Diceros bicornis minor: one gene and its partners. The protein of the gene in region 1 interacts with the protein of each later gene in a biochemical or structural test. Links are inferred from orthologs where the notes say so. Each region holds a gene or a part of one and is shown in the gene's direction. Other genes may lie near its edges.

Region 1 (7,928 bases):
ATATTAGCAACCAAATTTATATTCCTTAAAAATGACCCCGTGGGGCCGGCCCAGTGGCACAAGCAGTTAAGTGCACGCGCTCCGCTGCGGCGGCCCGGGGTTCGCCGGTTCGGATCCCGGGCGCGCACCAACGTGCCGATTGGCAAACCATGCTGTGGCGGCGTCCCATATAAAGTGGAGGAAGATGGGCACGGATGTTAGCCCAGGGCCAGTCTTCCTCAGCAAAAAAAGAGGAGGATTGGCAGATGTTAGCACAGGGCTGATCTTCCTCGCAAAAAAAAAAAAAAAAAAGAGACCCCGTGAACCACTGTTGCACTGCCCCCCTCACCAGAAACCCTAAAGCCTTTGAAGAAATCCTCTGGCTTCTTGGACCTCTGATTTCCATCTGGCCTGTCCCAGGAGCTGTTTCTTTCTCACTTGTTGGGACCCCTCTCTCACCAGGGGCGCTCCGCCCAGGCAGAGGTGGGGAGGAGATCTGCAGACCGGAACAGGTGGGGCCTGGCTTTGGAAGTGGGAGCCGCGTTCCAGGGATTCCTGCTAGGCGACCCGCCCAGCCGGGCCCCCCTCCCCCTCCGTGGGCCTGGTGCCTGGAGCACCCAGCCCCACCTGGGGGGGCCGTCCCAGCAGACGCCCAGGCCTGCAGCTGGTGGAGGCTGAGGGCAGACGGATTTAGTGGTGGGGACTTGGAAGCAAGTTAGGGCAGGTTTACATCCAAGAGGAAGAGAAGCAACATTCCAGGATCCATTCATTCAGACGTCTTGACTCAGCACCCAGCGCGCGCCCCTCCCCGCAGGCACCATGTCCCTGGTGGGCTGTCCCGACTCCCGTGGGCCCACAGGAGGGAGGGAGGTGGACAAGCGAATGGACCCCGGTGAGGGCCAGGGTGCCGGCAGGGACGGGAAGGGAGAGAGGCACGGGGGTGGCCTAGGCCTGAGCCTGGGGTCCTTGAGGAAAGGACAGTTCAGGTGACTGGTCAGCTTCTCTGGGGCTGAGGGGCTGCTGGGGACGGGGGCTTTCAGTTCTAAAATGGGACAGTGCCAGGCAAACTGGACGGTCGGTCACCCTGGGGAGGGTGGAGCAGCCAGCGGGGTCACCTTAGGGGGGGTGGCACAGGAGGGGAGGTGGTGCAGGGAAGCTTACTAGCTGGTGGGAGGGAGAGGGGAGCAAAGGGAGGGCGCACGTGGGAGGGGCAAAGGTGTGGATGGAAAGAGAGAACCCCACCCACCTCAGAGAAACCCCACAGCCCACATCAAGAGCTGAGGCCTTCCTGCCCTACCTGCTCTTTCTGTACCTGGGAAACTGAGGCCGGGAGAGGAAAAGGAAGATGCTGGCGCAGTCAGGACTAGAAAGCCCTTCTGGATACCAGGGTTGAGAGTGGCCCACCTGACTCAGGTTAGGTGAAGACCCACTGGGACCTAGGTGGGCCAAACGCCTGTCCTGATGGACCACAGCGAGGGGCCGGGGAAGGGAGAGCAGAGCCCAAGGAGGGGGAAATGGAGACATAAATCTCTCCAACAGCTGCCCTGGCACAGTTACCAGGGGAAAAGGAATTTACCACAAAACCCCACTGACCTGGGCAAGAGACTTGGGGTCGCCGGGCAGAGTCAGCAACTCCTTGGAATGGTGGTCCAGCAGAGGTGGGCTGTCCAGTCTGGAGATCTGGTGAGCAGCACCTGGAAGCCCTGGATCCTGGGCACCCCCGTGTCCCTCGTCTCCCATGACGTGCCCTCATCAACTGCCGTTGGAACCCAAAGCTCTGGGCTTGGCCATTAAAGGGCCAGTGCTCCCTACCCAGCTCCCGCCTGCTGCGGGGAGCATCTCCGCCTTCCTGCCATGCAGTCTGTTTCTCTGCCACAGCCCAACAAGCCCTCTCGAGTCTGGTAGTCCACTGTTCCTGATGAAATATTTCTCATTAGGTGACAAAATACGGTTTTGCAAGAGCTTCAAGTCCTATAAGACGGTGATGTTCTTAATTTCAGCTCTGTCACTGCCATAGACTCTCACTGACTGTTCCCGTTGACACAGGCTGCTCTCTCCTGTCAAGACCCTCAGCACTTGCTTTTCACTCATTCACTCACCCATCATCTACCATGCATCCATCCACCCACCATGCATCCATCCATCCACCATTCACCCATCCTCCTACCATCCATCTATCCACTTACCAGCCATCATCTAACCATCCATCCATACACCCTTCATCCATCCATCTATTCTCCACCACCCATCCATCCATCCCTCATCCATCCATGCATCCATCCTCCCACCGTCCACCCATTCATCCATTCTCCATCCATCCAATAATACCACTGAGCCTGTATTGTATAGTCTGGTGGTTTGGAGTGTAGGCTCTGCCTTGAGCCAGTCCTGACTTCCATGGTTGTGCCTACTGCCTGTGGGTCCTTAGGCGGCTTCTCAATCTCTCTGAGCCTCAGTTTTCTCATTGTGAAAAGGAATAAAGGCACCCACTTCACAGGCTTGTTGTGAAGGTGCAGGGAGATAACATATGTAACAAACTTACTAGAGAATAGAGCACACAAGTGCCTCTCTTTCTCTTCTTCATCCCGTGCCACCTGCGAAGAGTGCTGTGACAAGGAGCCCAACACAGCTCAGCCAGGAGACGCTGAACCAGGAGTTACAACAAAAGATGTGTTTCCACTGGGGAGGAGCAGGGGGCAGTAGTCGAGAAGACTCAGCCGGTTGGGAATGAGGGGAGGAAGCTCAAGTGGACGTTGGCAGGGGAGGAGGAGGAGGGGTGCCCTGAGGGGAAGGAGATCCTGGTGGAGGGACCTGGGCTGTGCGGAGGGGGCCCAGACCAGCTCGTATTGTCTGGTTGATGGGGCAGACTTGAGAAATGTTGTATTTATAAAAATGGTTCACGGAAACACATTCCTCTACCAATTAGCTCCCACTGGCCAAAGCACAGTTAACGTTCTGAAAAAACAAATCTCCAAAATGTTTTCCTCTTATTTGTAGATTTTATTTTCTCTTCCATTTCCACTTGTGATTTTTCTGAGCCTGACTACACTTTGGGAGGCATATAAAAGGATTTAAAACCTAGACAATAAAGCAAATCACCTGCTTTTGTTAAGTTGCTTTACCTGCTGTGTTATTCAGTTTCAGGATTTTAGCTGTGACTGCAAGGGTGGGTTGCAAAAACACTCAAGTTAGGGGATCTTCTCATTTTCACTGGAAGGCTCTGTCTCCTGTGAAGATGGAGGCAAAACCAATTTACCTGGGCACCTGGTTTGAGTTCTGCGTTCTGGGCTCAGGACCCTTATCCTGCTCCACCTGGAGGGTTGGAGGACTGGAAGTACTTTCGATTTGGGGCTGTGACCCGGGTGCACAGTTTGGGGGTGGCGCTAGGCTAGAGGGGGAGGCTGGTCTGGTAAACTCCGTCAGCAGAGTGTGGACCAGGGTGGGGATGGAGAGAAGTGGATGGCTATGAGAGCCATCTGAGAGGTGATGAGGGGTATCCATGATGGGCTCTGTTTCCGGCCCAGGCACCCAGGCGGATGGAGATGCCCTTCTTCATCCTGAGCTGCCTTTGCGACTACCTTCGATAATCACCGCCTCATGCTCCAGGGCACCTGGCCCAAGGTGACTAGGCCTCCTGGGTACAGAGATCCACACGGAGCCATGCCAGGGCCAGATGGGGACTTTGCTGCCCCTGCTTCCTCCGTGGGGGGCTCCAGATAAGCCACCAGTCTTTGGCTCCTGCATCTGACAACCACACACCTCATGCACATTCTCTGGGCATTTCCATTTCAAATGCTCTGTCCTTCTGTTTGCACAGGTTCCTGTGTCGTATTTGGTGTTCCCATTTTTAATTGGGAAATAGGTTGCACGTAATTCTACCCACAGGCCTGGGTTGAGGCCATGGAGCTGCCGAGACCATCACCACTTCCCCAAGTGGGCAGCAGAAGTGGGGCAGCAGGGTGAGAATGCGCGGGACTTAGGGCCAGAACGGTGGCTCCAGGTTCTCCTCATGGCCCTGAGCCCTCCTCTCTGGCGTCCCCTTCCACATTTGTAACTGGAGGTGAGCCTACCTGTCTGTGACATCACCTTGCAGACAGCAGAGCAGCCTGCATGCAGTGACTGTTAGTATTGACTCTCCTTCTTGGGGGGCGCAGGAGAGAAGCAGGTGCGCCCCGCGGGCTCTCTGCGTGGAGGCGGGAAGAGCACCAACCAGGCAGCCGGCCCTGCGGGAGAGCTCGTGGGCGCAGTGCAGGGATTCTGAACCTTTCGGAGCTCAGGTTCCTGGCTTCAAAGTAGAAGGTAAGGACCCCTGTGCAGAGGTGTCCGAGCATTAATTGAGATACTAGGCGCCGAGCACGGCCAGGGCCGGCTAGACGCTCTGCACGCGTTAGCTGCCGCCCATCAGCGAGCGCCACAAGGAAGGAGGGACGCGATCCAGGACATGCCCATCCCAGAAGAAAGGTTAGGGCCCCGCTGCCCCTCCAATCCCGCATAGGAGCGGTGCTCCTCCCCGGAGGCGCCTCGCGGGGCGAGCTCGGGACGTGAACATGCGAGGGGCACGCTAGCCTTTCCTGTAGGTATCATCCTACTTCCGTTTTTAGAAAGTGCAGGACAAGAAGGGGACGCACCGGCCACCTTTGGCGTTCACGCTTTTAAGCAGGAAGCGCGCGCAGCACGCGGTCCCTTTAAGGCGTTGGGCCTGCCCGAGGCATTCTGCCCTTCGCCGCTCCCCGTAGCGCCCCTTCGAGAGGCTGGCTTTGTGCGCTCGCCCCGCCCCGACGCCGCCCCCCCCGGCGCACGCGCACTGCTGGCCCCGCGCCGCCCCGCCCCTGGCGCACGCGCACGCGCACTGCCCGCCCCGACGCCGCCCCGCCCCTGGCGCACGCGCACGCGCACTGCCGGCCCCGCGCCGCCTCGTCGAGCTAAGCCCGGCTCCCGCCCAGGCGGCGGCCGACGCAACGCCCGAGCGCCCGCCCCGCCCGGCGCGCCCGGAGGTAAGGGGGCCGCCCGCCCGGTGGGCACACTCGGGGGCGCGGGGCGGGCCGGCGCCGCCGCACCCCACGCCGCCCCGCCGCCGCACGTGTTGGCGGGCCCGGCCTCGGCCGCGGGCCGGCCCAGCCCCGGGCCCCGTGCGGGCGGACGGCCGCCCCGCCGCCGCCTCGCCTCGGGCGCCGCGCCCCCTCCTCCCGTCGGCCCCGGCCCCGCCCCTGCGGAGCCCGCCCGCACGCGCGGCCGCCCCCCGGCTGCCTCTCCCCGCGGTCGGTGACAAGCGCGAGGCCGGCACGGCGGCTCTGCCCTGCAGCCGGCGTGCCTCTCCGCTGTGCCTCCGCCGCTCCTCCGGGGAAGGACCCCAGGCCCCGGCCCCCCGTGCCTGCAGCCCTGACTGCCCCTCCTCTGCAGAGACGCCGCCACCCGACCTGCTGCCCACCCTCTGCCCGAGGCAGCCAGGCCCCCTCGCTCCTGAGGTCCCAGGACGGGGTCCCCGCGTGCCGGTCCGCTGTCACGAAGGGAGAGACCATCTCCTGTCTGGTCTGCTAGAGCCATTTTGAGGGAGGTGAAAGACTCCCTCTCTCCCTCCCTCCTAGCCTTCTCACCCGGTTTCTGCCCCCCAGGTCCGTTCACCGAAGCCCTGGCAGGTGCTGTGGTCGACACTGCCTCTGAGGTTGGCCCGCCCCGCACAAGGCAGATAGGTAAGCTGGAACGGAAGCGTGTCTGCGTGTCCCAGAACCGAGGCAGGGAGAGCCAGGTTCCCCCACTCTCTGTGGGTCTAAGGGGCTGCCGCCTTTGAGGCACCAGTTACGTCCTGTCTTCCCACACCTGTGGGCCCAGTCTCTGGGGGAGCCCAGGAATCTGCATTTTACAAGCAGTCTAGGAGAGCTCTCCAAGGTTTGGGAGGCTCGGCCTTAGGTGGTCAGGCTCACCTGGGAAAAAGCTGTGGGTGCAAAGAGGTGGCAGGTAGCACGTGCTCTGGGGGCCGACTCCCTATGGCCTTTCCTGCAGCCTGATTGCGTTCATCATCTCCAGTTCTCTTTCCTAAGGAGCTGGTCCCTAACCAGCTTCCCAGTTGTCTCAAAACGATTGTTCTGGGGCCCGCCTGGTGGCGTAGCGGTTAAGTTGGTGGGTTCCGCTTTGGGGGCCCAGGGTTTGCCGGCTTGGATCCTGGGCCCGGTCCTCCTCACTGCTCATCAAGCCATGCTGAGGTGGTGTCCCATGTAGAAGAGCTACAACTCTCCAACTATGATACACAACTATGTAGTGGAGCTTTGGGGAGTAAAAAGAAAAAAAGAGGAAGATTGGCAACAGATGTTAGCACCGGGCCAATCTTCCTCAAAGAAAAAGCAAGAAAAAAAGTATTAACAAAAAAGATTGTTCTACGGAATCATGAGTGTTTATGAAAAATGCCAAGCTCCCCCCTTCTTAAGTAGAAACTTGGAGCATTGAGTTAATTGATTGTATTCTTAAAAGTCTGGCTGATTTTTTGCAAGTTAATGTTTGCTAGCCTGGGATTGGGCTTGAGCTGGGAGGGCTGGGCACCTTTCCTGTAGGACCACGGCTGTAGCCTCTGGTCCTCACCTTGGGGCAGCCAGTTGTTTGCGGGAGTCACACTCCACCTCCTGGTGGGTCTCAATTTTTATGCTAAAAGGAGCTGCACTGGGTCCCCTGAGCTACCCTTTTCACCCCAGAGGAAGCCTCTTCTGTTCCCACTGGTGTTTTGCTTGGCGCCTGTGGTCCACTCTTCTCCACCCTCCTTGCTGTGGCCGGGCTTCTTCACACTGTAGGTTCTGTGAAACAGACTTTCCAGCTTTCTGCCTTAGCTCCTCTCTCCCTCCGCTTGTGCAGCCTACGAAGGGGAAGGCAGCCCTTGGGTTAACTGGCACAGCCCAGTTGCATTAAAGATAATCACCAGTAGCTGGTGGTTACTGAGCCCCAGCTTTGTGCCGACACTTCGTCCCTGGCAGGTTTCCCTGACCTGCCCCTCCGCTCCCCCACTTCAGGACTCGGGCTCTGGGTGCAGCGTGATCCGTCCCTGGGCCTGGAATCCTTGCTGCAGGTAACCAGCCGTGGCCGCACGTGTGCTCTGCACAGCCGTGTTGCATTGTGATGTCTCTTCCTTCCGCTTGGATGAAGGCTTTGAGACATGCTCTTTTTGGATGGCTCCCGTTTCGCCTTGGTGTGACGAGGAGCCTGTGCAAGCTTTCAGTGTTAAGCTCTGAGCGAGGATTCACAGTGTGTAAACTTGGTAGATTGATGGTAGTGTTGGCTTTCGGGAGTTGGATGGCCAGTGATATTTGCAAGAACAGTTTGGTGGCTCTCTTGAATAATGCTTTCCCTCGCTTCAGAATCACCCGGTGTGCTTCTATGAGATCTGTCCGAGGAATGCAACCTCTGTTCCTGTGACAGAGGAAACTGGTCACTTACTGTGCAGCTTTTGGGTCATTCCCACTGTCACGCTGAAACCCAAGTGAGCCACAGTCCCCTCTGCAGTGAGTCTTGCTTGAAGGGTATCCGTGGATACTTGAGGCTGCTTCTACAGAAGGTGAGCCTGTGGGGACTCCAGCAGGCAGGGCTGGCTCTGGTTTGGGCTCTGGTTTGTGCTTTTCGGCTGTGTCTTGTAAATGCCTCACCAGGGACAGAGAGAGAGCCCTTCGAGCTGTTTGCAGGGCTCTGGAAACAGCCTTGTGCCTGCAGCCTGTACATGGTGACAGTGAAGCCCCCAGAAGGTGTGGACTGCTGGGGCAAGCTCTTGTGTTTTCAGAGGTGGCTGTTAGCACTGTCGCATCTGAGGAGGCATTTGAGGATTTGGATGAGTTCCCAAGCTTCTGCCCTCTGAAGCTCAGTCTTCTGTAATTTGGCATGTTAGTTTCCTGAGTAGAAACCTTTGGTGGGTTTGTTTTTTTAATGGATCAAGGGCTCTTTGAAGAAAATGGCATATTGTTTGCCTGGAGTGT
Region 2 (6,825 bases), on another chromosome or scaffold:
GGGCGTCGGCGGCCTCCTTGAGGGCCTCACACCCAAAGTGGGGACAAAGGGGCTCTCCGCCCCTCGGGCTCGGCTATCCAAGGACGCCTGGGAGCCAGACATGGGCGCCCAGGCCCGGGTGGGCAGCGAGGACGGCCCGGGGGCAGGGCCGGGGCGCGGGGGAGGCTTCCGCGGCCTCCGGAGGAGCGGGTCGGGGTCAGGGGGCGGCCTCGAGGCCCTCCCCGGCCCCGTGGCCCTCTGCTACTGGCTCGCGCGCGGGAGGAGGAAGGGCCCCCGCCGCCCGGCTTGGGCGCGAGGCCTCGTGCCCGCGTGGGGCCCCGAGTCGGGCGCGGGGTCCGAGGCAGCGGCGGAGCCCGCGCCCGCCGTCGAGGCCTCGGGGCCAGGGGCGTCCTCGCAGGCGGCGGCCTCCCCTCCCCCCGGCCCGCCGCCTCCTCCCTCCTCCCGCCTGGCGCGCGGCGGCCGCCACCGCCCGAGCCGCGGGCGGCGCGCGAAATGGCGCCCGTCTGGCCGCCTCGCCGGGCGGAGGTGAGCGCGGGAGCTGCGGCGCGCGACGCCCCCGGGCCCGCGGCCCCCGACACGGCCTCCGCGACCACCCCCCGGCCCGGGGCGCTATGCGCTGCGGGCTCTCGGGGCCCGGCCCGGCCGAGGGGCCGCCACCTGCGCCGGGCTCTCAACGCCCACCGGGGAAAGAGGGAGGCAGGAAGAGAGCGGCCGCCATTAGCCACCGCAGCCTGGCCGGCCCGCCCGCCAGCCCCGGCCCGGCCCCGGCCGCGGCTCCGCTCTGAACCTGAAAATAAAACTCGAGTTGGGCAGGGAGGAGCGAGCGCGGCCGGGAGCACAGGCAGCGCGCGGGCTGCAGGCGCGAGAGATGCTGCGTCATGGTGCCAACATGGACGCCGGCCTTTGTCCTTTTTGCTTAGGAAGTGCAGGCGCGCCCCGGAGCCCCGGAAAGCCGGCTTCGGAGGGCGAGACCCCCCCCAATCAAAAGGGAACGAGGCCCTGGGCTGGGGGGGAGTGGGTTTCCCTGTCTTTTGAGCCCCTCCTTTGCAAAGCACTTTAATTTCTTCTCCACACCAAGGCTCAGACCTAGAAAAGCGAGGGGGACGAGCGCAGGCGACCCCGTGGACGCCCGAGGTCGCTGGGGAGGCCCTCCTCTCGCCTCCGGGGCAGAAGGGGCAAAAGGGTTTGAAGAGCCCACCTTGTCCCCCTACCCCTCCCCGATCCGGCTGCCAAACATAAAGCTCCAGAAACCTCCTTCTCTCCTCAGCTCCCAAACATTTGCAGCCCTTGGCCTGCTCGAAAAAAGATTTCCTCGAAGGGGCAAAAGGCATTTTTTTTTTTTTACTCACCCGCTCAGCCCGGTGCCATGGAGTCTGGAAGATCAAGCGGGGCGGAGGTTTTGAATATCTTTTGGGGGGATTGTTTAGTTGGGAATATTTGAGGGAATGGTGGTGTCTTTTTTTGTTGCTGTTACCTTTTTGTAAGTTACACTCTCATGGCATTTTCTGCTCCTTCCACTTCTGCAAACTTTCCAGGGTTGGGTTGGCAAAAGGCGGCTTCGCAGGACTGTTTACTGCTCTGGATATAGCAATGGTGTGACCGTCATTAAGAGACAAAAGGCGAAAATACACAGTCAAATCAAACAAAAGGCATAAGACGCACCGGCCATCCCAACCACCATAGAAAATACCCGCGTTAACGTTGGTGTTTGGCTCGAACCAGCTAGGACTTGTTTTCCAGTTTTAATCTAGTTTCCTGTGACGGCTTTAGTCTCTTTACACAAAGAGAAGGTCTTCCTTTCCCTCACCCACTCCCCTACCAAGACGACAAAAACAGAGCTGTTTTTCTTCAAATAGATCGATTTTCAAAGAAAGTGTACATGTTACTGGGAAGAAAGCTGACTAGCATTTATGGCTGTAAACATTTTCAAAAGCTTAAAGCTAAAAAACCTTAGCTTTATAAAAGCAAAATCGTCTAAAAGCATTTTAACTGGCTTATATTAGACAAGAGCGACAAAGACATACATGCAGATGAAGGTTCAGAAAATTAAGGACATCTCAGCAACATTAACATGAAAACTGCACTGCGTAAGGACAGAATGGATTGGGTACTTACAATGTAAAAGGTTTTTAGAAACTTAAAAGTAACAATTGCTTACAATTTTTTTGTTGCTGCCATTTCGCTAGTCCTAAAACTATACATTTAAAACATTACCTTGTTAAAAAGAGAGCAGAAGGAGTTAATAAGATGGCCAGGTTTAAGTGTTTAATAGAGGAAACTATATATATTTAAAAATTTATTGTTCAGTCAAGAGAATACAGATTAAGACAGCTCCAAGCTCCCCCCACCCACCCAAGAAAAAAAGAGGAAAAAAAATTAAATATGTCATTTACTTAGGTTTTTTGGAATTCAAAATTGTTAACTGCTGACATTAATGGTGTGCTATGACCTAGTTATACAAGACAAAGATGGATTCCAAGTCATAAGGAAAAATCCAGATCTTTTTAAAAAGTCTTCTTCATTCTTCCAATTGTGAGTCCTTTAGCCTGTTGACAAATGTTAAACAGAACACTGAGGCGTCCTGAACTGGATGGTGGAGTCAAAGGAAAAACATTCCCCATTTGCAACAAAGGAAAAACCCACTTGGCCATTTAATTCCATTGCAGAAAAATGGCTCCCCTCATCTGTTGGCCTCTCCTTGGTGTCTGATGAAGGATGTTTTGAGACCAGCGTCTAATAACTCAAGCCCTATAGAAGCCGCGCGCTGATTGGCTGCCGCGCCCTGCCGCCCTGCTCCAGCCAATTACCTACCCACGGCCAAATTACAAACCCCGAAAAGAGCCCCAATATGAAATACACCACCACGAAGCCCCGGCGAGGCGGCTCCTTCGCCTCGGCCGCCCGAGAGGAGAGGCAGAGGGGGCTGCAAATGCGTCCTCGCGAAGCCCGGGAGCCTCGGAGTTGAACTCACAAAATGGAAGCCGCGCGCTGATTGGCCGCCGCCACTCCCGGACCTTTAATAAAGAAAGGGGAAGGAAAAGATAAATGCAAAAAAGGGGGACTCTCTCCTCCGCTGGTGGCTGGAGGAAGAAGGAGGGGGGGGAGACAGAAGCATGTGTTCAAGACAATTACAGGGCGCTCCTCTCCAAAAATAAAAACAGAAAGAAGCTTCTATCACCCAGGTCCAGGCGAGGGCTGCATCCTCCCAGGAATGTGAATGCTAATTTGGTTAAAATCCTGGTTTCCCCTCCCCAGCTCAGCTCCAGGGGGGAGGGGGTCGCGGGGCAGAAGAGGAAGCCGGCGCTGAGATACCTCGATTGCAACTCGTCTTGAGTCGTCTTGCCTCTCCCCACGGCTCCCAGCGTCCAAAGACACAATCCCACACATATACACACCCCAAAACCCGGCCCTTCCCCCGGAGCCCCCGCGCGCCCACCTCCGGTCTCGGCAGTTTGGAAACAGTTTTGGAGGCCCGAGGTGCACGCCGCGGCGGCCGCGGCTCGGAGGGTAGCCCCAGCCGCGGGAGGTAGAGCCTGGGGAGACCCCCTCCCCCGCCAGCCAAGCCCCCCACCTAAGTCCCAGCAGAATAAATAAATTAAAAGGCCTTCCCCCGGGGAGGGGGGAGGCAGTGTGGGAGCGCGCGAGTGAGGGGTGGGGGGCCGCTGGGGCCCGGGGCTTTGGCGGCGCAGCTGCCGCCGCCGGGAGAGTGCCTGGGGAAGCGGCGAGGAAGGAGAGGGGAGGAGGAAGAGGAGGAGGAGGAGGAGGAAGAGGAGGAGGGTGAGCGCTCGGGTCGGGCTCCTTAGCGGTGTATTGTGGGATGTGCGGCTACTGGGAGCCGAGCCTCCGCCGCCAGCCGCCTCCCGGGCAGCAGCAGCAGCAGCAGCAGCGGCGGCGGCAGCAGCTCCGGGCCCGGCAGCCGCGGCGGCGGCGCCCCCCCGTCCCGGCCCCCCGTCCGGCCGCCCCGGCCTCGGCTCCCGCGGGGGACACCATGTACTGGCTGGCGGCGCAGGGAGGCCGGCGCCCGGCGGGGATGTAAGCGCGGCCCAGGGGGGAGAGGCCGCGGCCGGCAGCCGGGCAGCCCGAGCCCCCAGCCCCGGCCCCGGCCGAGCGCGCGGGCGGGCGGGCGGGCGGCGCCAGGCCTGCCGCGAGCCCCGCGCCCGAGCCGGGCCGAGCGAGCGAGCGAGCGCCACGCCGGGCGGCCGGGCGGCCGGGCGGGCACCATGGGCCGGAGCCCGCGTCCTCCGGGCGCCCCGGGCGCCGCCAGCCCGCACCGGGGGCCCCCGGGAGCCCCTCGCTGCCGCCCCGAGACGGTGGCCGAGCGGGCGGGCGCCTAATTCTCCCGGAAGGGTTATTCTCTCGCTCCATTCTTATTTTGGGGGGAGCCAGCGAGACAGCTCCTTTTGGGGCGCGCTGGTAAGGTGGGAGGGGGTGGGGGCTGGACGATTTGATTCTCTCGCGTGTGTGTAGAGCGGCCGCCGCCGCCGCGGCGGAGACGACAACAACTTGCTCGATTTCAGGTTGGGTTAACGGCATGGAGAACAGTCACCCCCCCCACCACCACCACCAGCAGCCCCCGCCGCAGCCCGGCCCTTCGGGCGAGAGGAGGAACCACCATTGGAGAAGTTACAAGTTGATGATTGACCCGGCTCTGAAGAAGGGGCATCATAAACTGTACCGCTACGATGGGCAGCATTTCAGCCTGGCGGTGAGTAGCCGGCGCGCCGCCCCGCCGCCCCCACCCACCCACCCGGCCCGGCCCGGGAGCGGGGTCCGAGCAGCCCGGGGCCCCCTCCCGACCGCCGGGCCAACTGTCAGCCGGAGTTTGACAAGTGCCTGGAGAAGGGGGGTCTGCCCCGGCCCCGGGAGCGGGACCAGCCCTCCCATTCCGCCCCCCGTTCCTCCCCGCAGATGTCCAGCAACCGCCCGGTGGACATCGTCGAAGATCCCCGGGTCGTCGGGATCTGGACCAAAAACAAGGAGCTGGAGCTGTCGGTGCCCAAATTCAAGGCAGGACCCCTCCCCCTGACCCGCGCTCGCCCCCCCCTCCCCGCGCCGCGAGTTCGAAAATAACGCCAGTCCTGGCCGAGCCCAGCCGGATTCTGAGTTCCCGCCGTCCGGGCCGGGAAGTTTTGGCGGGGCCGGGGGGGACGGCTGCGAGAGGGTGTCCCCTCTGGGCTGCTGTAAACACTCGGTGAAACTAAGCAGGGCGCTGATACAGTGTGCTGTCCGCCCAGCTGGGGGCTCCGGGTCCCCACCTGCCTCCTGCCAGCCCGGGGACTCAGCCCCGGGACCCGCCCCCCTTCCCAGCCTTGTGGCTTTAGGGGGACAGCTTCCTAGCCCCAGGGATCGCCCCTGACCCGGCAGCAGGGAGAGGAGGCCAGAATGGGGGGTGGGGAAAGAGAAACTGTTTCTTTTTCCCCTTTCCTTTCGAACCCAGAGGACTTCCACGTTCCAAACGATTTAATCCTCCGCTTCCCGGGCCCGCCCGCCTGCATTTTTTTTTTCCCCCAAAAATTTTTTTATTTTTTCCCCTTCATTGTTTTCAACGGGCAGGCGAGTGGGGAATGTCGTGTTTTCCCTTCGGTTTCAATGTTCTGCAAACTCCCTTCCCCCTCGTCCCCTGCCAGATCGATGAGTTCTATGTGGGCCCGGTGCCTCCGAAGCAGGTGACATTTGCCAAGCTGAATGATAACATCCGCGAAAACTTCCTGAGGGACATGTGCAAGAAGTATGGGGAGGTGGAGGAGGTGGAGATTTTGTACAACCCCAAGACCAAGAAGCACTTGGGCATTGCCAAGGTGGTCTTTGCCACGGTCAGGGGAGCCAAGGAGGCGGTTCAGCACCTGCACAGCACTTCCGTCATGGGCAATATCATCCACGTGGAGCTGGACACCAAAGGTGAGTTGGAGGCCGGCTGCGGACTGCCCACTGCCGAGGAGCCCCGGGACCTGTCCATGTGACCCTTTTCCCTCCCAAAGCCCCTCCTGCAGTGTTGGGGACCCCCTGACTCTTCCTTGGGGGCCCCCTACCAATTGTATTTTTCCCCCTCCTGAGGGTAGAGTCACGTGGAGCTAAATGTGTTGTCTGTTGCTAGGAGACAAGCTATAATTTACCAAATGTGCCAGTCCTTGGCCACTGCACCCCCAGGGACCACCCGGAGGCTTCCCCACTGCTGACACCCCCGTGGGCCCCTCTCCCAGCCCTGGTGGCCTGGGTTGAGACAGTCCCCAGTGTTGCTAACTGTGTTAGGGGAGGAGGCAGTGTTTGTTTATTTGTGGGGGGCTGAGGGAGAGCCACCAGGATGCCGTTAAATACATAAAGAGTAGGTCCCTGGACTAAAAAGAGAGTCCTCTAAGGATCCAGGGTCCCTTTCCCCTTGGAAGTGGGAACCAATCTGGGCCCAGAGTGTGGTTTCATTGATCATGTTCCATAGAGTGGGGAGGGCTGCTCTGGGTGCTCAAGGGTTGACACTGTGTCTTCCCTCCTCTCTCTTAAAGAGACAGCACCACCTCCCATGCACCGGAATCTCACTCTGTACTCACTCTGAGTGGCTGCCGGGAGAATCGGGGAGAGCTGGGCTGGGGAGGCCATACCTCCCACCCTCAGGGTCCTGGGAGGCTCCTCCTGGACGCTGGCTGGAGGGGCTTGAAGAACTCTAGGGCATCCCCCAAAGTTTGCCTGTGGCTTCTCTAGGGAAGTTCCCACTGATAGAGAAGAAGGTGCCAGGTGCTCTGAGGACCAGCCAGCCCTGTGACTGGGCAGACACTGTTGGGTCCAAAGCTCCTGGGGGTCCCCTGGGAGGGCTTAGGTGGGTGGCTTCCAGGG
Region 3 (7,407 bases), on another chromosome or scaffold:
AGTCTTGTATGTGAATAAAGGAGAGGAACCTAAGAAAGTGTGTGTGTGTGTGAATGAGAGAGAGATAGAGGGAGGGAGGAAGAGAATTTTTAGGAGTTTATAACACTTCTGGCAGAATGTTTTCTATGCCTCTTCTAAATAGACATAGCTGGCGGACTCCTCTCACCCCTACCCTTCCACCTAAACCCCCAGATGCACTTCTTTTAAAACTATGGTCTTGTACACAATGGATGTAAATATTTAATCTTTCTATTTGTACGTTTTTCCATGTGTATTTTTCAGTTGCCTGCTTGCCCTTTTTGTATTTATCTTGTTAAGTAGTGCCAGGCTCAAAGTATAGACCCCTACAGGGCAAGATCATATCTACATAAAATGTGCAGCAGAACATCTACTGATGCCTCAGGCTCTTATACAGAAATTATTTTTGAAGGTGATTGTTCTGTTTATTTCCTTCTTAGTTTCTTCCTTTAATCTTTCTGTCACACAGGTACATGGTATACACTACTGAAATAAATAAAGCAATATATGAATTTTTATAGCTAAAAACGCACTATGGACTAAATATGAACTAATTTTAAGTGATAGAAATTCTTTTAAATAATTTTATTTATTTATTTTTTCCCCCAAAGCCCAGTAGATAGTTGTATGTCATAGCTGCACATCCTTCTAGTTGCTGTATGTGGGACACGGCCTCAGCATGGCCGCAGAAGCGGTGCGTTGGTGCGCGCCTGGGATCCGAACCCGGGCCGCCAGCACCGGAGCGCACGCACCTAATCTCTAAGCCACGGGGCCGGCCCTAGAAATTCTTTTAAAACATTTTTTCTACTGAAAAATAAAGGATGAAAAATGATAGCCTATGATGGCAACTTTTTAAAGTGTAACTTTAATAGTAAAAATATGAACACAAAAATTATAAGATCTAGAATTTACATTTTCAGTGTTCCTTCTGCAACTATAGAAGTTTGGTTCCCAAAAAACTCTAAGGAATTTAAGACTTTATGGGAAAACAAAAAGAGAGGGACAACATTTAGTAGTGAACCTATGGGAGAGCCTTTTAAATATTTTTACATTCACTAAAACAAAGCAATAGAGAGGCCTTCTAAATAAAGACTCTATCAATGACATTCTAGGCCTGCAATTAGTAAGAATGGGTACTGTACTTTGAGTTTTTATTCACTGTCACTTGTTTGCTAGACTCTTTGAGACTCTCCTTTGCTTAGTTTCATGAGATGCTGCTTTTTCTTTGTTGCAGATAAGAACCCTCACCTCCTACCCACATTTTAAATATTTAATATATATTTCTGATTATATTACGTGTGCTCTGATTCAAATATTACAGGAAAATGTAATATAGAAAGTGAAAGTCCCTTGTATTCCAGCCCTTCAGAGGTGATTGCTGTTATCACTTTGGTGCACATCTACCATATTTTAAAAATGCCTATTTAACATGTGTTCTTATTATTTTTTTTTGGTGAAGAAGATCAGCCTGAGCTAACATCTGTCACCAAGCCTCTTTTTTTGCTGAGGAAGACCGGCACTGGGCTAACATCTGTGCCCATCTTCTCCACTTTATATGGGACACTGCCACAGCATGGCTTGATGAGCAGTGCAATGGTGCGCGCCAGATCAGAACCCTGGGCCACCATAGTGGAGTGAGCGCACTTAACGGCTACGCCACCGGGCAGGCCCCACATGTGTACTTCTTATAAAGTAGACATTCTAACTTTTTCCTTTTTTTTTGCATTTGGTCCTTCCAGATGCTCATGCCTTTCTGATTTTATAATTTTGAGGAAATTCAGCTACCTGCTTCCTGGATTTTTGCCATTGTGGACTCAGAGCTGTGAGATTTGGATAACGGAGATGTGAAAACATTTATTTATGATGAATAAGTATTCCTTGACTATTTCCTCTGCATCCTGGGTTATATTTGATCTGCTCTGCCTATGATAACTTCATGCCGATGAGCCTATCGATCCTTTTAAAACAGATCCCATTACTTGTCTGCTCTCAGTAGCCAAAGAAATGGAGATTTAAGGCCGGGGGTAGTCACCTTTATCATCTTTTATCTTTCCGGAAGCATCACTCCACAAAGCTCTATTTCTACCCTACCATTCATTCTACCCACTTTTCTGTTCTCAGTCCCCAGTCATTTCCTTTTAAAACCTCTCTCCAGCAGGAGTGACTTGCAAATTGCACATACTGACACTTAAATTCTCCCAAGTGCTGAAGAAGTAGACTGAAGGAAATTATCCTGATACATAATTTTGTGCATGGGAAGCTCACAGTTGGAAATGACTGATCTAATTTCAGTATTGAACACAGATAAACATTTGGATCAATAATGCAATTTTTGAAAGTGTACTTTATTTAAAGTGTAATGCGCAGAAAAAAATTGAAAAAGAAAGGGTAATAATAAACTTTAAATATACCACTGCATAAGTTTATCATTAGTCATGTGTATATTGTATTTCTGTGTATAATAGTTAGGCACTTTTAATTTATTGTTTGTATTTACCAAGCCAGTTTCTCCCCAGTGTGAAAATTCCCGTGGCTGTAAATTTAGTAAATTTGAAAAATCCAGCAGGGGTTAAACCCTGAAGGAATTCAAATGACTGTCTTATTATAGTCCTCATTTCAAAAAACTATGCTTTTAGTCAGAATAGGCTCTGGAAATCAAACTGTGTATATTTTGCCCAAATAGGAAACACAATGCAAAGTGTGTATTCTGGTTATTGGAAGGAAAGGAAGGCGAACAACATAGCTGGATAACCAGCATATTTTTTTCACTTTATACTAAAACTGTGTTGTGAAGATGGAAAAAAATCATAATCAGAAGGTGCCTAGTGTGTCCGGCCTAGAGTGTATGCTTATTAGATGATAGTTTATCCTAATCCTTTTGCAAGCAGTTGAGAAGTCTTAATATTTTTCCCCAATTCAAATCTATAATTTTTTCATTCCCATACACTAATCAATAGTGAATGGAAAGGAGAGCACATTGTCTATTAGAATAAGGAATCTAGAATTCCACATCTGTCACTGTTCTTCTTGAGAAAGTGCATATTTCAGATTTCTTATTCTAACCCCATTTTTCTCTTACCATTTTTACGTAGTATGAGAGGTGGCTTATAAGTACTTCAATTTTTGACTCTTCATCACAACACACTGAACGTTAAAATCAAGTGTTGGGGTTTTTACTGGTTTATTATGTCTTTCAGCGTTTTATTCCTCAAAATGTCTTGGTTCTTTTTGTCTGACAGCTTGGTAAGCCCTTTCTGGATCATTTTTTAAATGACGTTGTAATAACGAAACTATCGCTGGAATTGGATTACAACGAAGTTGCACTCCATTTCTTTTTCTCCACAGACACGCACGAAACCCAAAGAGCCCTGCACGCGGCGTGCTGAGGTCCTCCGGGCGCCGGCTCCACACTCGGGGTGGGCGTGGGGCACCCGCCGGCGGCGCGCCCGAGGGCAGCCTGCGCTTCACCCCCCCGCGCGTCCCGGGAGACCGAGCGCGTCCGGAGCGAGGACGCGGCCCTCCTCTTCCTCCCTCGCCCTCCGCCTACTGCCTGGACCCCGATCCCGGACGCCTCCTCCGCAGCTTGGCGCTCTCCTGAGCCGGAGCCGGAGCCGGAGCCGGAGTCGCCGCTGCCCGGCCGCCGCGTCAGAGGAGGAGGGGGCGGGGGCGGGGGCGGGGGAGGGGCGGTGAGGTCAGCGGCGGCGAGCGTCCGCGGGCGGCGCATGCGCGGAGCGAGCCCCGTGAGTGGCAGCGGCGGCGCGCGGGTGGGGGAGGGGGAGGGGGCGTCGAGCGGCCGTGTGTGGGCTAGACGCCGGCCAGTTTGGGAGGTCTGTGGTGCCGGGCGCCCGGGGGAGACCCGGCGCGGCCCCCGCGCGCTGGCCACGGTCGTGTGTGCGCGCGTCTGTGTGTGGTACACGCACACTCGCAAAACTTCCTCCTCCCCTGCCCAGAGGGCGGGCGCGGGCGGAGGGGCCGGCGCTCGCGCAGCCCGGAACCCACAACAACAACTGGAGCAGCTGTCAAAACTTCGCCGCCGCCGCCGCCCCGCCTGACGCGGCCCGCGCTGGGGAGGGCAGCCGGCGGAGACGCGACCCCCGCCCGCCCGTCCGCCCCGCGCCGGCCCCGCGGGCCCTGCGCTCCCCGCGCCGCGGCCCTTTTCCCTTCCCCGCCGCGGGCGGCCGGGCGGGCGGGGGAGGGGCGCGCGGGGACGCGGGCCGGCACCCGCCGCCCCTCAGGGCCCGCCCCTCCCCGCCCGCACCGCCCGGCGTGGCCCGCACCGCGCCCGGCCCCCGCCCGCGCCCCGCCCGCCGCCGCCCGCACCTCCCCGCCCCGGCCGGCCGGCCCCTCCCTCCGCGCGCCCCGCCCGCCGCCCCCCGCCCGGCCCCTGCGCGCCGAGGTGCGCGCGCCCGCGCCTATGTGTGTGAGTGCGTGTCCTGCTCGCTCCATGTTGCCGCCTCTCCCGGTACCTGCTGCTGCTCCCGGGGCTGCGGGAAATGCGAGAGGCTGAGCCGGGGAGGAGGAACCCGAGCAGCAGCGGCGGCGGCGGCCGCGGCGGCGGCGGCGGGAGGAGCCCCCCCGGAGGAGGACCGGGATCCATGTGTCTTTCCTGGTGACTAGGATGTCGTCGGAGGAGGACAAGAGCGCGGAGCAGCCGCAGCCGCCGCCACCACCCCCCGAGGAGCCCGGAGCCCCGGCCCCGAGCCCCGCAGCCGCAGACAAAAGACCTCGGGGCCGGCCTCGCAAAGATGGCGCTTCCCCTTTCCAGAGAGCCAGAAAGAAGTAAGTTGAGTGTGAGCGAGCCAGGCCGGGAGCCAGCCGCGGCGCCGGCCCGGAGCTGTCACCGGCGCGCCCGCCGCCGCCGCCCCCGGCCCCGCGCGCCCCCGGCCGCCCCCGCGGTGGGGGTGGGGCCGCCGCCGCGCGTCTCCGGCCCGGCGCCCGCCCGCCCCGGCCCCGGCCCCGGCCCCGCGCCGCCCGCCCGCACTCCGCCCGCCGCTCGACGGCCGCGCCGCCGCCACACTTTACTTTTAAGTTGGGCCCCGGCGCCGGGGCCTCTGTGTTCGGAGCGATTTCTCGTCGAGCCTTGCGCCTGGCTGGGTCTTTAAAAAGCCAGCCCGCAGCACAGCCAGGGAGTCCCGGGCGCGGGACCCTCGCCGAGCTGTCAAACGCGGCGGCCGGGGGGGCTCCGGCCGGGGGCGGGGGGACCCGGCGGAGCGAGCACCGGTCCTCTTTGTCGGCGAGTGGCTCCGGTAACTTTTCCTGCTGCCCGGCCTCCCCTTCATCCCTGAAGGGGACATTAGGAAGTCGTTGGACTTCTCCCCCCACCCCGGGCCGCACTGCCCCGCACCCAGAAGCCCACCTCCGGGGCACCGCGCCGCCGGGGGTGGGAGGGCGGGAAGTTTGGGAGGCGCAGGCCGGCCGTGAGAGCACGTTGGCCCGGGGCGAGTGCAGGCGGGAGCGGCCCGAGCCGGCGTGGAAGCGGCCACCCGCGCCGTGGCTGCGGCAGGAGGAGGTTTCGTTTGCGTCCGAGCACACATTAGGGCGGAGTGCCGAGGTCGCTCGATGGCTAGAGCCGTCCTCCTGCAAAATGGTTATCCGGCGACTTTGCCTGGAGATGAAGAAGCCCGCGGCGGTGTCAGTGAGTCGCCCGGCTCCTGCGGCTCCCGAGGGTGCTGTGGAGGACCTGTGAGTGTCTCGCCAAGTTGTAGAATGGCGTGGATTGCTTACTCATTTCATTATGTGATCGTCTCGTTGAGCTGTCGGTAGTGGAACGGTGCGGCGCACGCGGAGGAAAGCAGCCAATTTATGGACAGTCCGGGTGTGTTTGTTGTTGTTGGGGTGCGCTCATTTAGTAATGATGTTGTTGCGTTTGGTGATATATAGTAAAAATGTAGTGTTAACCGAGGCAGAGAGAGCGGGGTGTGGGAACCCCGCGAAACCCTTGGCTGCATGTAGTCTCTCCTTCTTTGCTGTCCTTTTGCTATGAAAATGATTCAGGCCTTCAACTTGCCTCCATGTTTTATTGCCAGCTCTTACCTAGCTGTGACAAACAGTGAGGGAAACAAGTACAGGATGTAAACATTATTACATTAGCTCCTTTGTGAGACAGAGTTAGGGTCTGTTAGGCCACTTGCGTTGTAGTGTAACGTCTGGTGTAAAATGCCATTATTATTTCTGTATTAACTGAAATTGGGAGAAGGAAGGTGGAGTTTTAGGCAACTTTAAACTTTTTTGCCACTTTTTTGTATTCTTTAAAGCGACACATATTAAGCCACATTAGGGTTTTAACTTGGTTGCTTCCCATTTTCACTATTTGGAAAGCATTTCTTGTTTTTTTCTGAACGTTGATTTGAGATTATCATGTTTTAAATTCCTACTCTAGAAAGAGTAGACCTAGCAATGTTGTCAACGCCCCTCACCCCCCCCCCCCACTTCCCCTGAGATTGAAATGAGCTCATTTGTATTAGTGCAACTCCTGGGTGCACCGGAAGAAGGGCTGATTTAGGGTAATACCACTTTATTATTTTAATGTTTATCATATTATGAGTGAAGAAGAAGGTAGCCCTTGCAGAAAGTAAAAAGTTTCTGCAGAATGACGGTAATCTAACGGTATAAAAACATTAACACTTTGGAAAATGTTTAGAACAATTCTAAATCTTGAGTGTTTTCTCTTTTAGATTTGAAAACTGGTACAGCATTCCTTATAGGAAATTAAGTCTAGTGGTGACTTTGATCGTTCCAAACTGTTTAGTGAATTCTTTAAAATCATGTGTATATTTTGAAGGGAATGGAATCTCCAATTGTTTTAGAAACATGTAAATGGAAACTAATATGTCAAATGGAAAGCAAAGAGAAGGGTTTTCAGTTGTGTATCTGTACACAATATTAGGATACATGCAGAAAAGACCCCTTAGTTAGTTGGGTAGTGTAGACCCTGAAAGTGAAACTGATGTGTAACAAATGTAAATTAGGTTTGTAAATGCTAAAATTATGTGGAGTTGCAAATAGTTATCTAAGAAATGAAAATTAATATTCTTTGTGAAGTGCAGTGGAGATAAAAGTTTTTAAATTGTCATTGTCATTTAGATGGTCACTAAGTGGGTTGTTTTACCCTAGGGAAGATGCCTTATGAAACTATTTTTTAAAAGTAGATTTGTATATTTGTCTTTGGGTTAAAAAAAAAGGTAACCATGCACTGCTAATTACACTTTGTTTGAATTTTTAAATTTTTAATAATTAGGTAAATAAGCATTTTCTTGTTTTATAGTGTTATTTAGATAATTTTTATATTTTAGCATATTTAAAAAGCATAGGTTATGTAGTTACTGGTTTTACATTAACTATTATTATTTTAAAATTATGTTTCCTACCTAAAATCAAGAATTTTGAACT
Region 4 (7,451 bases), on another chromosome or scaffold:
ACGTCTGCCCTGCTCTCGGGCTTCGCCATGGTGAGGGGAGGGAAGGGGCGCACAGGGTGGGGGTGAGGCACATGGGGGGCACGGAGCCGTTGGCGAAGTGAACGGATACTCAAGGGAGAGAGGACAGAGGCAAGGAAAAGATGGGGTTCTAAGGTAAAAGAAGAGAACAAACAAGGTCCAAGGGACTATACAAGTCCCTTTTTGGGGAGTGGGGGGTGTGTATTTGTATGTAAGCAGATCTCTAGTAGAATGGGCCATAGGGATAAGCAAGTCACAGAAGTTTCATGGGGGACACAAGTCATGTCATGGGGGTAGACAAATCACCAAAGGGGATAACATATGCAAAGATGGGACAAAGAGGTCCAAAAGGAGCTTAGCCCAGGCAGAAGTGATTACTAGGTCCCCATGAGAGATTCAAAGGGAAATCAGAGCTGGGTGGGGGCTGTATAAACAGGACTAGGGCTGGGGGTGGTCAGAGAGGGTAAGCTGGGCGGAAAGGTCACCCAACTGAAGGTGGGCCCATCTCAAGGAGGGCAGCTAGTACCCAGCAGGCACAAAGAAGGCTTAGCATAGCCCAGGGAGGCTTTGAAAAGAAAGGAAGCGGCTAGGGAAAGAAACTGATTAGGAAGCTGATACATGATTCTTAAGCTGATAAACTGCAGGTGTGGGCGGATGATATCAGCTAATAGTCCCAGCAGAGGCCTCCTAGGAAGTGGGATTGAGGGAGGTCCTAGGGTGAGGAGTAGTCAGCAGGCACGAGTCCTGGCTCCTCCCTGCTTGTGGCCAGCTATGTGACTCTGGACAGGCCTCCACCCCCTTGCAGGCCAGTGGGAAATTGTGAGATCACAGAGGGTGCGCCCTCTGTAGCCTGCCAAGTGCCCACCCCAGGATGAGCTGTGATTCTTGTCATCAAACCCTAGATCCAAGCATGTCAGAGCAAGACACACATCAGAGATGGCTCAGACTACCTGATAATTGGACAGGCATGGAAACCAAGGCACAGAATGGGGCAGTGGCTCTGCCAAGAGCACTCAGCAGATGAAGGATATAGAATGGAATAGGACCCAGGGTCACTGGACTGTTAGTCCAGTGTTTCCCCACCATCATGACAGGAAGAAGGAGAAAGTGGGCTGGAGGGGGGTCCTCATAGGAACAAGCTCCTGCAGGGGTTGGGGGTGGTCCAGATGAGGATAGAGGGATCATAGCACTAGGTGATTTGGTTAGTCCCTCGTCCCTCTCTGTGCCACAGTCTCTGTACTTGAACGATGAGAGAGAAAGTCTCTATCCCTTAGGGTCATCTTAAGTCTATGGTTTTCTGTGTGGGAGCCCAGGATCCACAGGCCAGCCCACTCTTCCTGATGTGGGGTCATCGAGGGACAGGGAGTTGACTCCCCTTCCCCTGTACAGACTGCAGAGAGAAGGGAACAGCCCCGTGGACCTAGCTGAGGGAGTCCCCCACCCCCATTTACCCCATGGTCCAGCCTGTTCCCAAGGGCACAATCCGGCCTGCTACTGGACTTGCAGGTTGCTGGGGCAACAGCTTAAGGACCAGGACCTTCTCTGCAGGATCAAGAGGCCAGATGAGTAAGTTCTGGGGGCAGGACTGGCCCCAGTCCTGCCAAGGGAGTGCAAGGCTGGGTCAAGCTCTGGGAGAAACCAGGACTAGGCCTGGCCCAGATCCCTGTCTATGGAAACCACCTGCTGACACCCGCCATGGCCCAGTTTCCCAAAATACTCAGCCTTGTCTTCCTACTACCACCCTCCAGGCTCTGCACCTTCCTTCTCCCAGGCCCAGAGCAATCGAATGGATCCTGCAAGAACCAGGCGTGGGGAAAGATCCAGGTGGCTTAGGTTAGAATAACACTATATAAGTTGTATTGAACTGTCACTAAGTACCAGGCATTGTACTTAGGGCTTTTATGTACATCATCTTTCTATTATCTTATGAAGTAGGAACCTCTACTATGGCCATTTTACAGATGAGAAAACTGAGGATCAGAGATGTTAAGACACCTGCCCAGGGTCCCACAGCAAGGAGGTGGCAGGATTTGAACTTGGCTCTAGAGTCCAAATTTATACAAGCCTAGAACAGGATCATCAACTTAAATGTTTGCAAAGGCCAGGCAGGTAATATGGACAGCAAGTTGGCTGGGTGGGGCCTGTGGCTATCAAGAGACCCCATGGCCTGTTCAAAGGGAGCAGCCATGACAACTCTAGCTGATAGTTGCCATGCAGGAATGTGGGCCTGGTGTAACCAGATCTTGCAAATTTTCAAGAGGATCTGGAAATAGGCATATTTATATGAAATCTCTTGAGTTTTAAAAGTTGGCAACTTAATTCTTTAAAAAACACACTGCATGAGCCAAGCAAAACATGTCTGTAAGCTGGCTTGGGTTCACGGTGTGCCAGTGTGCAAACTCTGGCCTTGGACTTTCAGAGTCCACTCTAAATAATAACAGCAAACGGTGCTTGCTATGTGCCTTGTGCTATTCTTATCACTTGATGTATATTATCTCATTTAATTTTCACAACAACCCTATAAGGCAGGTAGATGCTATTATCAGTCCCCATTTTTCAGATGAGGAAATTGAGGCACAGAGACAACTAAGTCACTTGCTCAGGATTACATAGCTTGTGGAGCTGAGAATGAACCCAGGCAGCCCAGCCCCAGAATCTGTGCTTTTTAACCCCTGTGTTATAACAAGGTAAGATTGTCAGAAATGTCATCCAGCCCTCTTGATAGCCTAGTGTGGAAACCAAGGCCCAGAACAGGACAGAGCCTTGGCAGTGCTGCCCATTCACTCGCTCAACAAAGGCTAGGTGCCTTCTTTCTGCCAGGCAGTGTTCTAGGTCCTAGGGATACATCAGTGATGTATACCAACAGGCAAAAACTCCTGTACTGTTGAGGAGGTTATGGGCACTCAATCTATTTCCTCTTGTCCCCACAGGTGGCCATGGTGGAGGTGCAACTGGAGAGCAACCACGACTACCCACCAGGCCTGCTGGTGGCCTTTAGTGCCTGCACCACCGTGCTAGTAGCGGTGCACCTCTTTGCACTCATGGTCTCCACGTGTCTGCTGCCCCACATTGAAGCCGTTAGCAACATCCACAACCTCAACTCTGTCCACCAGTCTCCACACCAGCGACTCCACCGTTACGTGGAGCTGGCCTGGGGCTTCTCCACTGCCTTGGGCACTTTCCTCTTCCTCGCTGAAGTTGTCCTGGTTGGCTGGGTCAAGTTTGTGCCCATTGGGGCCCCCTTGGGCACGCCAGCCCCTGTGGTACCTGCCTCCCAGGTGCCTGGGACTCTGCCATCAGTGACCAGTTCCCTTAGTCCAGCTTCCAAGCCGTCCTCTGCTTCTCTAGCCCCGTCACAGGCTGAGCCATCTGAGGCCTGCCCACCCCGGCAAGTGTGTGGTGGGGGCGGGGCCCATGGACCAGGCTGGCAAGCAGCCATGGCCTCCACGGCAATCATGGTACCTGTAGGGCTTGTGTTCGTGGCCTTCGCCCTGCATTTCTACCGCTCTTTGGTGGCACACAAGACAGACCGCCACAAGCAAGAGCTAGAGGAGCTAAGTCGCCTGCAGGGGGAGCTGCAGGCTGTGTGACGCTGGTGTGAGCCCCAGCTGCAAGCACTGCCTCCCTCAGGGGTCTGCAGACCCCATCCCTGCCCCTGCCTGGAGACACTTCCTGTGGCCACTCTCAGGTAGAGACCAGATTTCTGCTCTCAGGGTCCTTTGGGCTGGGCCTTGGGGCAGCTCCCACATTCCCAGGGATTCTCCATCAGTCGGTCCTATAGGTTTTCTAAGTTCTACTCTACAGCTGGGCTGGGAGGAGGTGGAGGGCCTCAGTCCGAGGCCACTGCGGTAGGCGGAGGGGAGGGCAAGGAGACCCTGGTCAGACCTTTGGTGCTGACCCTTATCCACTCGCCGCTATACAGGATGTGGAGGTCAGAAGGTTACACGCCCACCCAGCTGCCCCAGAAGGCAGCCAACTCTTGCTTTATTTTTGTAGAATCTGTTTTATGGTTGGCATTTCTGGGGAAGTTTTCCCCATCCTCAGATTTTGATGGGTTTTACACTCTTGCTTTAGTTGCTGTAGAGAGAGATTTGGGTGTTTTTACCCCAGGCATAGGTCCAGGAAGAGCCTCCCTATTTTGGGAGGTTCAAGTGCCTGCCCCACTGCCCTAGACCCACACTTACGCTTCTATATCTGGTTCTCACTCTCCTGGACCAGGGCTGGGGGTCTACGTGTCCAGCCTGACTCCCTAGCAGGGGTTGGGGTGAGGAGGTTTTAAGGGAGAAGGTCCAGTCCCTAGTCCTTGAAATACAGAGCTCTTCTGACACTGAATTTTTGATGCACCTTGTTTTGTATAATAAATTGTGTTTCACAGATGTCCCTGTGGCTGTGAATGGGGTGAACGGGAGGCCTCCTTGGGGTCAGGTGACTTGTTCCTTAAGAGTCAGATGGAGGCAAGTGTACCTGGGGGTGGGAGAGAGAGGGTACCAGGTATGACTCCCTTCTGGTGCTGACAGGGACCAGTAGCTTCTGAATGTGGAGACCGCATTACTCTAAGGCTAAAGGCTTTTGCCTCTTGTCCTTGAGCCCAGGATCTTTTATCTCTTCCATTGAGGATTTAATATGTTTCTTTTAGTTTAAGTTTCTTTCTTGAGTGACTACTACTTACTAGGAGCTTTTCATAGGTTATCTTTTTTAACGTACCTAATTTATTTTATTTAACAACCACCTCAAGAGACAAGTCTTTATCATTACCATTTCAGAGATAAGGAAGCTGAGACCCAAGAAGGCTGAGGATTCTGCCCAAAGCCACACAACTAGTCAATGAAAACCTGGACTACCTTTACTGTCACATGAAGTCTGTTTGAGAAAAGGAGCAAATACCTTTCAGCTGGGACAAGAGAAAGGCATCTGATCTCATCACCCATGCTTCCATGCAAATTTATTTTTTCAGCCTCATTTTCTTCAAAATTTTAAAGGGTCCCAATCCTCTCTCTTCTATTCTTATGGTGTGAGATCTTGGGCAAGTCCTCCTTTTTTTCTTTTCCTATTACTTAAAATGGTGAATTTGCATGAACCAGGCTTCAAGGGCCTTTCCTGCACTGTTCTGATGCCTACAATAGACCTGCAGGACAGGAATTAACATTCATTTTCAGAGAAAGAATCTGAAGCTTTGGGAGGTTAATGACTTGCCCAAGGTCACACAGCGAGGGACTGACGCAGAGATGTCTGGAACCCAGGGCATCTTCAGCTCAGGCAGAGGTGCCTCCTGGGAATGCCATTACCTAGAGACCAGGATACCCTGCTTCCAAAACGGAGAAAAAGGGTGCCCAGCATCAGGGCGACTTCAGCCCCAGGGTCCCAGGTGTAAGCCTGGGCTGGTGCTGCCCTCGAGCGGTGGGACCGCGTAAACATAGGGGGCACACGGCTGAAAACGGCGGGCACTGGGACCACGATGCCTGGAGAATCGACCAGCCCACCCTAGTTCCTGTAGGACCTAGTTTATTATTTTTTACAGGACCCGTTCAAGGGTCTTTAGGCCCCATCAAGTTTACCACAGAGCTTTGAGATAGCCTCGGATTTAATCACTAATAGTAGGCCCAGTACGTGCAAAATGCGGTATCTTCTGCGAGGCTCAGTCTCCCCATCTGTCAAATGGGCACCTTAGACAGCTAGAGGCCCAAGGGGGATAACGGGAGGAAAACGCTCCCTGCATTATGTGCAGCGCCGGGCAAACGGCCTGAGTCACCGCTGCTGGTTGTATTTTTCCACCTCCCGGGCGCCCCTCCCAGCCCGCCCCGGTTTCAGTGGGTCCTACAGGAAGCGCCCGCACGACACCGGGCTCCGCACGCTGACCACGCCCTCTGCGCGCTGTGCCTTGGCCCCGCCCACAGAAGAATTCACAAATTCGCTAGGCCGGCTCCTCCTCAGAATTGCTCGGGGCCTTCTATACTCCGCCGAAAAATTCTCATCGGACTCCGAGAGGACCTTTGGGCCGTAGCCATTTCCCCCGGGTCGGAATTGGGCAGTCCTCTGAGTTGTGCTAGTAAGAAAGATCCAGAGAAATTGGCCAACTCTGCCAACAGGGCTTGGCTAACCAGCCGTTATTTTCTTGACTCCATCAACGCGGGTGAAGGGAGGCGACAGCTGAGGCCAGGACTTGTGGCGAATCTGCAGCCTCTTAGACCTTTGGCCGCCCGAGGAAGGGGCCGGAAAGACGAGCAAAGGAGCGCGCATCCTGTCCACCGATTCGCCCCGCCCGCTTGACGAATCTGCGCCTGTTCAACGCGCCAGTCAAATCTCCCCAGCTCTGGCTGGCCTCTTCCCCTCCGCCCCGCCCCCTTTTCCTCAGGGATTAGTCGCTGCTTTCGTCGCCGCCGATTCGTCAAGGACCCCAGTCCAGAGCAGCTGGATAGTCGTGGTGAAGCCCACTCTCCGGGGGATGCGGCCAATCTTCAGGCTCCCTGGGCCGCAACTCGCAAGCCTTATAGGGCACCGGTCGAGGCGAAGCCGCTATCCTCGGCCCCGTGGGTCTCCCGGCGGCACCCGTGGCGAAAGTGCGAATGTAGACGCTGTGCCCGTTGGGCCTCGCGCAGGTGGCGGTGGTGTTTGGTGCGCGCGCCGGGGAGGTGGTGGGGGGGGGGGCGCCGCCGCCGCCACCGCTGCGGGGCCGGGTCTCGCGCTGCCGCCGCCGCCGCCGCCGCCGCCGCCTCGCGCCGCTAAGGTGCCGCGCGGGGTGGGGGGAGGGGGAACCGCTCGCCACGAGCGGGTGAGTGGGGCCGCGCCGCGCGTGCGCGGAGATGGGGGGGGCAGAACGCGCCGGGGCGGGAGGAGAGGGCAGCGGCGCGCGTTCCCTTCACCACCCCCCCGCCCCGATTCGGGGCCGCAGCCGGGTCTCGGGCTCGGTCTCGCGGTGTTTCCAACGCCCCGAAGAGGTGCCACCTCTTGGCCAGAAGATCGGGGCGCGGGGACGAGAGCGGGTGTGTGGGAGCGGGACCCGGGCTTGGCCCGGGCCGCTGGCCGGTGAGGAGGCGGGAGGGGGCGGGGCCTGCCAGGGGGCGGGGGAAGGGTCTTGCGCGGAGGCCAAGTGGGGCGCGCGCTAGGGAGAGCGGGAAGGTAAGGGGGCGCGAGATGGGCTTGGGGGCCTGAGGGGAGAGTTGGGAGGTGGAGAGAGAATGAGGTGTTGTGGGAAACAGGGTACTTGGGGGAAAATCTGGGGGAGCCACGGGTCATGGTGAGGTGTGGAAACTGGGGTGATCAGAGAATCTGGAGTCTGGGCTAGTCGGTAAGGGGCAGCAAGGGAGTCAGGCCTAAGTCTTGAACACCCCTGTGTATTCCTCTTTTCTAACAGTGTAAATGAGCAAAGATGGATCAGGAAGGTGGGGGAGATGGGCAGAAGGCCCCGAGCTTTCAGTGGCGGAACTATAAGCTCA

Evidence for each region.
Region 2: the proteins of WDR5 (region 1) and SETD1B interact in a test that uses a peptide from one of them, tested with the Homo sapiens proteins (3 studies listed by BioGRID, with this or other methods). The link is inferred for Diceros bicornis minor from reciprocal best matches to the Homo sapiens genes WDR5 and SETD1B.
Region 3: the proteins of WDR5 (region 1) and KMT2C form a complex in vitro, tested with the Homo sapiens proteins (4 studies listed by BioGRID, with this or other methods). The link is inferred for Diceros bicornis minor from reciprocal best matches to the Homo sapiens genes WDR5 and KMT2C.
Region 4: the proteins of WDR5 (region 1) and SETD1A form a complex in vitro, tested with the Homo sapiens proteins (4 studies listed by BioGRID, with this or other methods). The link is inferred for Diceros bicornis minor from reciprocal best matches to the Homo sapiens genes WDR5 and SETD1A.

Annotation. Positions count from the first base shown.
Region 1 is NC_080767.1:41,021,261-41,029,188, forward strand, and holds the start of WDR5 (WD repeat-containing protein 5), read left to right. Parts: upstream 1-4,912; 5' UTR 4,913-4,973; intron 4,974-5,591; 5' UTR 5,592-5,669; intron 5,670-6,974; 5' UTR 6,975-7,030; intron 7,031-7,928.
Region 2 is NC_080774.1:8,199,650-8,206,474, reverse strand, and holds the start of SETD1B (histone-lysine N-methyltransferase SETD1B), read left to right. Parts: upstream 1-3,823; 5' UTR 3,824-4,032; intron 4,033-4,264; exon of another isoform or gene 4,265-4,413; intron 4,414-4,517; 5' UTR 4,518-4,531; coding exon 4,532-4,705; intron 4,706-4,908; coding exon 4,909-5,007; intron 5,008-5,627; coding exon 5,628-5,898; intron 5,899-6,825. UniProt on the Homo sapiens protein: Histone methyltransferase that catalyzes methyl group transfer from S-adenosyl-L-methionine to the epsilon-amino group of 'Lys-4' of histone H3 (H3K4) via a non-processive mechanism.
Region 3 is NC_080742.1:97,911,130-97,918,536, reverse strand, and holds the start of KMT2C (histone-lysine N-methyltransferase 2C), read left to right. Parts: upstream 1-4,397; 5' UTR 4,398-4,636; coding exon 4,637-4,797; intron 4,798-7,407. UniProt on the Homo sapiens protein: Histone methyltransferase that catalyzes methyl group transfer from S-adenosyl-L-methionine to the epsilon-amino group of 'Lys-4' of histone H3 (H3K4).
Region 4 is NC_080765.1:21,051,461-21,058,911, reverse strand, and holds the start of SETD1A (histone-lysine N-methyltransferase SETD1A), read left to right. Parts: upstream 1-4,438; 5' UTR 4,439-6,575; exon of another isoform or gene 6,576-6,614; intron 6,615-6,763; exon of another isoform or gene 6,764-6,787; intron 6,788-6,880; exon of another isoform or gene 6,881-7,041; intron 7,042-7,369; 5' UTR 7,370-7,384; coding exon 7,385-7,451. Other genes in the region: ORAI3 (protein orai-3), read left to right, coding at 1-30, 2,949-3,608. UniProt on the Homo sapiens protein: Histone methyltransferase that catalyzes methyl group transfer from S-adenosyl-L-methionine to the epsilon-amino group of 'Lys-4' of histone H3 (H3K4) via a non-processive mechanism.